Oryzias latipes: one gene and its partner. The protein of the gene in region 1 purifies or fractionates together with the protein of each later gene. This does not show direct contact. Links are inferred from orthologs where the notes say so. Each region holds a gene or a part of one and is shown in the gene's direction. Other genes may lie near its edges. The genes, in order: stip1 and ccdc117.

Region 1 (3,921 bases):
TTGGTGGCAAAGAGTGTTAAATAAACCCCTTTTCTGTAATCAATTTATTATATTTTATTTGTTTGTTCATTGTTTTTTCTTCTTCACCTTGGATACTTGTGAATTTGTTACACTAAAATATTAATTTATTCAGTAAGGTTCTACTCCATTCTGTTCCATTATACTAAATTTATATCATGTTGTCCTTTGTTTGAGTTTTATTCTAATAAATGAATGCTAAAAAAACCTCTATTGGATTTTTATTTATGTTTCATTCATTTTTTTAATTTAATGTGACAATGTTTGACACATATTTTGTTCAAGAAAATATTTTTTACCTAAATGTTTTTTTCTAGTGATTCATTAGAAAATAACGTATTGATGTTACACAATATTTTACCAAAGTGACCAAAAAGCACTACAATGCATTTTTGTTTATACAAAGGAAATTTCCGTATTAATGTTAAAATATTAGCAAAGTAAAACTGATGAATATTTATTGTATTTAAACATGTATGTTTTAAATTTTAAAAATGTTAACCTTGTCAACACCCTTAAATATGTGATGACATTTAAAAGTATGAGTTTCTCTTCAATATTATAGTTACGTGGATGCTGGTGTTGCTCAAAATATAAACGCTTAATTTAACCTTTTTTCAGACTTCTGTTCTTACTCTTGTAAGTGAATGCGCTTGTATCTTCAATTTGAGCTTTTACATTAGGCATAGAGGAGAGTAAAACTTCAAGGGCTGGGTTTTGAGAGTTTTTTTCCCAATTCATCTTCTGGAAGTTTCAGTCAGGAGGCTATATATTGCTCGTCAGAGGCTCCACGCGAGTTCGTCGCTGTTTGCGGATCTTCTACAACAATCTGGCAACCCGCACGTGTTCAGGGGGAGGCGCTAGTCCGCAGTAGTTTCTGGAACGTACCTCATGCTTGTATCATGGAGAAAGTAAGTCTCGTGTAATCGCATTTTCTTCTTCTTTCAAAACAAACATTTAAAATGGGTTTTTAAAGAATTGTGCAATGTTGAGATGAAACGAGTTTTCTTAAAAATCGTAGTTAAAAAAATTGTCTTAGTTTTAATCCTTAGCTTGAAGAGATTCACTTTGCTAATGCATCGAGCTAGCTTAATGTTAGCTAACCGTCATTCAATGTGGTCACTTAGAATGGAAGGTGTAGCTGAGCTTTGAGTTTTCCGTAAAACATTTTCATTTTATGTTAAAGTCCAAATAGTCTTGCGATATTTCCAGGTAACAACGCATGTGTGTCCAGTTAAGCTAATTAGCCATGATACGAAAATTCTACTGAAACTCCACTAATTTGAACTAAACGTGTTTGATTTATAAAAAAAATGTATATACATATTGGTTCATTTCTTTTCTGTCTTTGCCCATGCTTATCCTTAACCCTCGTAGCTTCAGACTAGTTCGCAAATCTTTGACATTGCAAGTACGAAATAACGATTTAAATTACGTTCATAATGCAACTAGTTGTATATTTTTGTATGTATTAGAGATTGCTAGTTTATATGCTCTCGTTCTAGTGTGGCACACAGCGCTTAAGTACTTTTCGATCGGCTGTATATGTTTAAGTAGCCTGCTCTCACACCGGAGGATCATTCTAGATGCACAGGTCGCTGCTGCCATGGCTACAGCCGCATGTCGTCGGAAATTGTCGCGCATTTTTCCGGTTTTTAAATTGTAGTATTTTGGTCCCAATTTGAACGTCTCTCTAAAAAAAATTTAAAGTCTCGTTTTCTCCAAACCTGTCGCAAATATTTAGTGATAAATATTGCAATAATATTTACTGGCAACAGCGTTAGCAACTATATGTATATGTATGCTAATCATGTAAAAATTATATTTTCTTAATATCCAGCGTTTGTTGTTCATGGGATCAACTAATGTTAATCCCCTAATCTGTGGTGATCTGGCTGTAATTACATGTTGTGACTTAATTAGTCTGTAAAACTGAAAATGATTTAAATCCTAAAGGGTCTTTTAACAGTAAGCTTTGAATTCACACGTGTAATTAATACTTTACAAAAGGTAATTACATGTGATGTAATGGGTCTTAAGCTGTATTTAAACTTTTGTTATCAACCCACAAATATAGAAATATGAGTCCTCTCAATTTCATCTTATAAAGATTGCATTGATAAATTAATGATCATAAACTTTAAATGTGAAATTTGATCAAAGGAGACAAACAGGCACAAACATTGGTTGTTTATTCACAAAACTTGGGGACATACTCATTTTAGTTGACCTGCTCAGAAAATACTTCTTTCTCTTCTTGGATGACCCCCCATTGAAAAAGTCATATTTGACGTTTTCAACATCCACTACTTTCATTAAATAGACTAAAAAGAAGTTTTCAAATCTGTTCTAATTGTATTTTAAAGCTCTTATATTGAACTTGGTCTGAAGAATAGTGTAAAGTTGTGAAAATTTGTTTTTTTTTTCTTCTTCTTTTTTTTGACAAGAATGAATTTCATAGAGCCATCACACCTGCATGACAACTGACTGTACTCTTTACTTTAGAAAAGATGGAAATGGACCATTGCAAGTGATATGTTCTCTTCCTTTTCAGTGCGATGAATTACCAAAGTTTGAATTTACTCATCTCTATTTGTGCCGTTTATTAAATGTATTGTTTCTTTGGACAGACTTCTCACTTCAGTCTGAAGTAATGAAATTTAGTTTATGAACAGATCTTTGAGTCCATTTAGAAATTAAAGCAAAATCTGGCCATTTTTTCAAATGTTTAATTTATTATCAAAGGTGTTGGGAACAGCTTCGACTGCGAGCTGGTGTGAAGCTTTATGTGTTTTTTCAATTTTAACTCTGATAACAGAAACGAAAGAAAAGACACAAGTTACCCAATTGGGTTTTATTGGATTAAGTGCAGTGTGTGGAGGAATGCAAACTTCTTTTACATTACAAGCTTAATGTGTTGGACCAGGAATCATTATATCTCACAAAGTATCGATTTAATGTTGTTATTTTTTTTACATTTTCATTCAAACGTAGTATCTTCTGGTGACGAGAACAACCTTTTGTATAACTATCAAAGAAGTAGGTTGATAAAAAAGCAGTCAATTGGACTTGGTTTCACATTTAATATTTTTCCAAAAGCCTTTCCTTAATCTGAAATGCATTACTAAGAGAGCAGGTTAATCTGCTCCTTAAGGCAAGGCAACCCAATGCTTAGGAGACTGAATATACCCTCATCACAAACGTCAATGTTCATAGCTTTTTTACATTTTTAAGTGGGCAATTTTGTTTATTTGTGCCTCTTTTACTCTCATTTGCCCCTGTTATGGATGTTTAAACTGTTTCTGGAGTTTCTCTTTATGGTGTGGATAAATTTCGTCTGTACAGATGAAGGAGAAATTCTCCATTCATTGTGGTCTTATTGTTTGTTTTTTCATGATCAGTTCTTAGGCTGTTTTTCAGCTCCTCTATATGGCATTTTTTGTATGCAAACTTTGATCTGGTGCTAATAAGCATGTTGGGTTTTGATGTTTTTCTAGATTTCAGCATTGAAGGAGCAGGGCAACAAAGCCCTGAGTGCAGGGAATATCGATGAAGCTGTGCGTTGCTACACGGAGGCCTTGGCTCTCGACCAATCCAACCATGTTCTGTACAGCAACCGCTCAGCTGCTTATGCCAAAAAGGGCAACTATGAGAACGCACTCCAGGACGCCTGCCAGACTATTAAGATCAAGCCAGACTGGGGAAAGGTGAGCAACCTTTTGCAGTTTCATTACCCTGAAGGATGTAACGGTAGGGGTGTGACGATAACCGCATCACCGCACTTATATATTTTTTTTAGGAAAGTTCTGCACATGGTGCGTGATTGGAACTATAATTCTAACACATTCATCTTTGCTGATTATTTACTTTTTCTGCTAGTCCTGTGTTCAGACTTCAAGGGTT
Region 2 (3,924 bases), on another chromosome or scaffold:
GACAGAAAAATACCTTTGGATTTCATTGTGCAAATCATTTTTCAGTTTGTTCAGGTGTTCGTCTTCCTTTACATGATTGTGATAATTAGAGAGGCGCAGGGCTAAGTGAACGCTGGGGTTGGGAAGTCCTTCCTGTGTCTCCAGAGAGTGAAGGAGCTGCTTGTTGAGGGACAGCAGCAGTTCCCGGTAGTTTCCATCAGTATCTGGATTCAGTTTTCAGATAAAAACAAAAATGAAGCTTTTTTGGAAAAAACAGAAGAAACAAAAAGCTTTTTTTTTTTTTTTTTAAATCTCATATGCTTTGTTATGGTGCAATGTCCCAAAAGGTTCAATCCGCACCTGTATGGAAGAACTTAAAAGCTTTATCCAATTATTTGGTATTATATTTATATGCATTTACAGAATTAAGCACTAAAACAACTATAACTCCTCCTAATAAGGTGCATGAGTGTTGCTAAATGATTGCAACATTTCCAAATGTCCAGATTGTGGAGTCATACCCTAGTAATAGTACTAAACTTCCTTCTTTTTTAAAGCAGTTCAAATCAGTTCCTTTAGATTCTTTTTTTAAAAATGATTTTATGTATTAATTAATTCATTTACTTACCGTGTAAGTTTAATGCCTTCCCAAACGCACAGGCAAATAGGCCCAAAACTATGACCAGGCGGAGCATTCTGAATCAACGATGGATCATTCGCCGCTTGTCCAGAACGCTAAAATAAAAAATAGATATATGAAAAAATTTAAAGGTCACGCTACTATAATAAAAAAAGATGTTTTGGATAAGTGATGAGTGCAATTAAGTTTCGCAGAGAGGGTTTGCCGCTGACCTGAACACAACAGACGCTCTTCTTGACTTTGTCAGTGTCCACTGAGAAGACTCAGACTGGAGTGAGAAAACAAGTTGAAGCGGAAAGTGATTCGGTTTACATTCTTCGGAGTCACATGACTGGTCAGCTGAATTGAAAAAAAAATCCCTATAAAAACATTTGAGAACATAAACAGGAAACGAACAAAGTTGGTTGACAATAAGACTTTTTAATTGGCTACTGGCTTTGCACACGTGCCAAGGTAACCCTATCAGGTATCGAGCACGTTTGGGGGCGGGACATTGATTTCCTCTGCTTCAGCGCTTAGCACTTTTTAGACACGCAATTTATACATTTGGCATAGAAAAATATAATCGAATTTGTTTTTATTGCCACAAAAAGGTTTCTTTAAGACGTATTTTGCTTTATTTATTTATTTTTTAATATTATATTGCGTTGAGTTGGGGTTTGTTTAAACTGAACTACATTTCCCACAATCCACCACTGTCATCGACCGTAGACTACGTACCTTCTAGAAACTTGACGAGCGTTCGAGTGCGTGCCTCTATTTCAGAATGTGTAGCTAACGTATTTTGACCCAGCCTACTTCTCGTGGAGACACTATTACAGAGACAGAGGCCATTTATTTTCCGCTCGACCTTACTATTATTATTATTCTTTCATTCGGTCAGTGAAACTCGAGAATGGAAAGTGTCTGTTTGCGGATATCAAAATGAAAGACTGAACTACTAGTGGACGTCAGAGGAGGCTCAGCCTAACAACAATAATAAACTATTGGCAGCAGGCATTGCAGCTACACTGACAGGTCAGTCTTGTTGAACATTGCCTTTACGCAACTCTTCCAAAAATGTTCTTTTGTTGAATGATTAAAGCGTTTTTGTGTGTCATAGATGCTAACAAGTTATAATAAGAACATCCGAAATATAAACTAAATGTTAAATAGACCGATGCTAGCTAGCTGTGTGTAAATGCATTTGATGCACAGTTGGTCAAAACTATACTAAAGGTTATCTTAGTATACTAAATAGGTGGTGGTTTCTGCGTGTGTCGCTTCAGGCCTCAGAACAAGTGGATCCTGATGCATCAGCCTGCTCCCTCCAGCTCGGAGCTGAGCCTTCTGCCAGCCATGTTTCCCTTTTCAGGCCCTGCAAGCCTCCCTGAATTTGACTTCAGACCTCCGAGTTCAGCTGAGCACCAACTAAAGGCGACGAACTCCAGCAAGTGAGTCCCTTATAACTTTTTTGTTTGTTTGTTTCTACATTTTCTGTTCTGACTTTGTTTTTTCTTTCTTTCTTAAACCACAGCAACTGGGAGATGAGATGTCTAAGAAAACACAGGATCCTGGATGATGAGTAAGTGAGATATATCTACATATAATGAAGACCAAATTCTAAAGTGTGCACCAACAGAAATATTTATTTTTATTTTTCAGAGGATGCAGTGCCAAAAAAAGAAGGATCATGTCTGAGGCAGAACTGGACATTTCACAGAACTCCAGGACTCCTCAAGAGTGGACCCAAACAAATGGTTGCAATGCTGCACGCGCCCAGACTGTTCTCCTGACTCCTCCACAGTCCTGCTCTGTCCAGCAGAGCTTAGCTGTGTCTCAGTCCGGCCCCCAATCCCGGCCTGCCAGGGAGTCCTTCAGCATGGAGGTAGAGGCAACTCAAAGAAAACTGCAGGAGATTGAAGACAGGTATGCACAAATGCTCAAGTTCCATGCCCAACCCTCCAAGAGGCAGCATGTAAACCAAATTTTATGGATAAACTGCTGAAGAATAGCAGAAATTCTTTTACAAATTGCTTGTCAGGCTGGTTGGAAAACCAGTTTTAATAATGGTTTAAACTTGAGATTCTCCGTGTGCTCAGAAATATTTACTCTACTTAAGAACCTAGATTTGTGAAGTCTCCTGTAGTTTTTATTTAGGATTTTCTCCTATTGCAGTCAGAAAGTGGCATTTGCTTAGTATAATAAGCATATATATAAATATAATACTGCTGTACTTTTCCAGCAGTTGGTTTGTTTTATCTGTTGACCAATTGGCCTTTCAAATTTGAGTTTATCCACTTTGCTTAGTGTAATGTAGACTGGATTTTAAAAACCTCTACATGTTTCCCAAATGTTATTCTGACTTGTCTTATCCTCACCCTCTACTTAGTCATCTTTTTTATGAATAAAAAGATGCTTTTTAGTCAGAAAAAAGCATCTTTTTGCCCACAAATGAGCCAGTTATGACCCGGCAACTGAGATCCCCTTTAAAGGGCCGCTTATATCATGGCTTTTCTTAAGCCCTTCAGAGGAAACTATATCCATATATATGATAATATTTTAACGTTGGCATGCTAAATAATGCTTTTTTTTTAAATAAAACATTAGTTATTTTCCTGAGTTCTTTTCCAACCCGCAAGTCAGATGACTCAGTCTGTGAGGCTCCGCCTTTCGCTCCTTGTGGGTGCCGCCCAATTTAGAGTCGTCCTTGGCAAAAAACAACATCCAAACTATTAAAAGATGGATGTGCATTATGTGCATAGAAAATGATTTGCAGATCACGACCAGCTCCGCAGAGAAAACGGGTGTGTATATTAGCCTGTGGGCGGTGCTGGACTCTTCCTGGAAGGGGCTGTTTGTCACTTTCACACGTATGAATGTGAAAACTCACACATTTTCGTGGACTGGGAGGGGCTGGTGGTCAAGTTTTTAAAGGATGCGTGACTGAATGAAAATACCGCTTTGGGGTTATTTTTAGTGAGGAATGAGCATCATAATACAGTTAAAAGCTAAAAAAAAATTGATCTTTACATGATATAGGCCCTTTAATGAAAGTGTGAAATAAAACTGGCACATCGCTGTCGGCCACCAGGTGGCACTGTTCAGCACTTTCAGTGTACACGACTGAGCATTTCTTTAGTTTTACTATGATGCCTTCATGTATTTAAGATGGATTTTAAAAACAAACTTCTACAAAGAAAGGAAGAAGTTGACGAAGTTGTGTGAAATTATAATTGAGATCTATTCATTTTCAACCACAACTGTGGGAAAAAAAAGACAAATGTTTTGCAGCCTATATCAATCTGCTGGAACTGAGTAAGTCT

Evidence for each region.
Region 2: the proteins of stip1 (region 1) and ccdc117 purify together in Homo sapiens (affinity purification with mass spectrometry; 5 studies listed by BioGRID and IntAct, counting the BioPlex papers as one, with this or other methods). This does not show direct contact. The link is inferred for Oryzias latipes from reciprocal best matches to the Homo sapiens genes STIP1 and CCDC117.

The regions. Positions count from the first base shown.
Region 1 is NC_019872.2:19,986,558-19,990,478, reverse strand, and holds the start of stip1 (stress-induced-phosphoprotein 1), read left to right. Parts: upstream 1-804; 5' UTR 805-920; coding exon 921-929; intron 930-3,515; coding exon 3,516-3,725; intron 3,726-3,921. UniProt on the Homo sapiens protein: Acts as a co-chaperone for HSP90AA1. Mediates the association of the molecular chaperones HSPA8/HSC70 and HSP90.
Region 2 is NC_019867.2:12,561,896-12,565,819, forward strand, and holds the start of ccdc117 (coiled-coil domain-containing protein 117), read left to right. Parts: upstream 1-1,287; 5' UTR 1,288-1,636; intron 1,637-1,887; 5' UTR 1,888-1,909; coding exon 1,910-2,052; intron 2,053-2,135; coding exon 2,136-2,183; intron 2,184-2,263; coding exon 2,264-2,527; intron 2,528-3,924. Other genes in the region: transcobalamin-2, read right to left, coding at 14-203, 608-674. UniProt on the Homo sapiens protein: Facilitates DNA repair, cell cycle progression, and cell proliferation through its interaction with CIAO2B.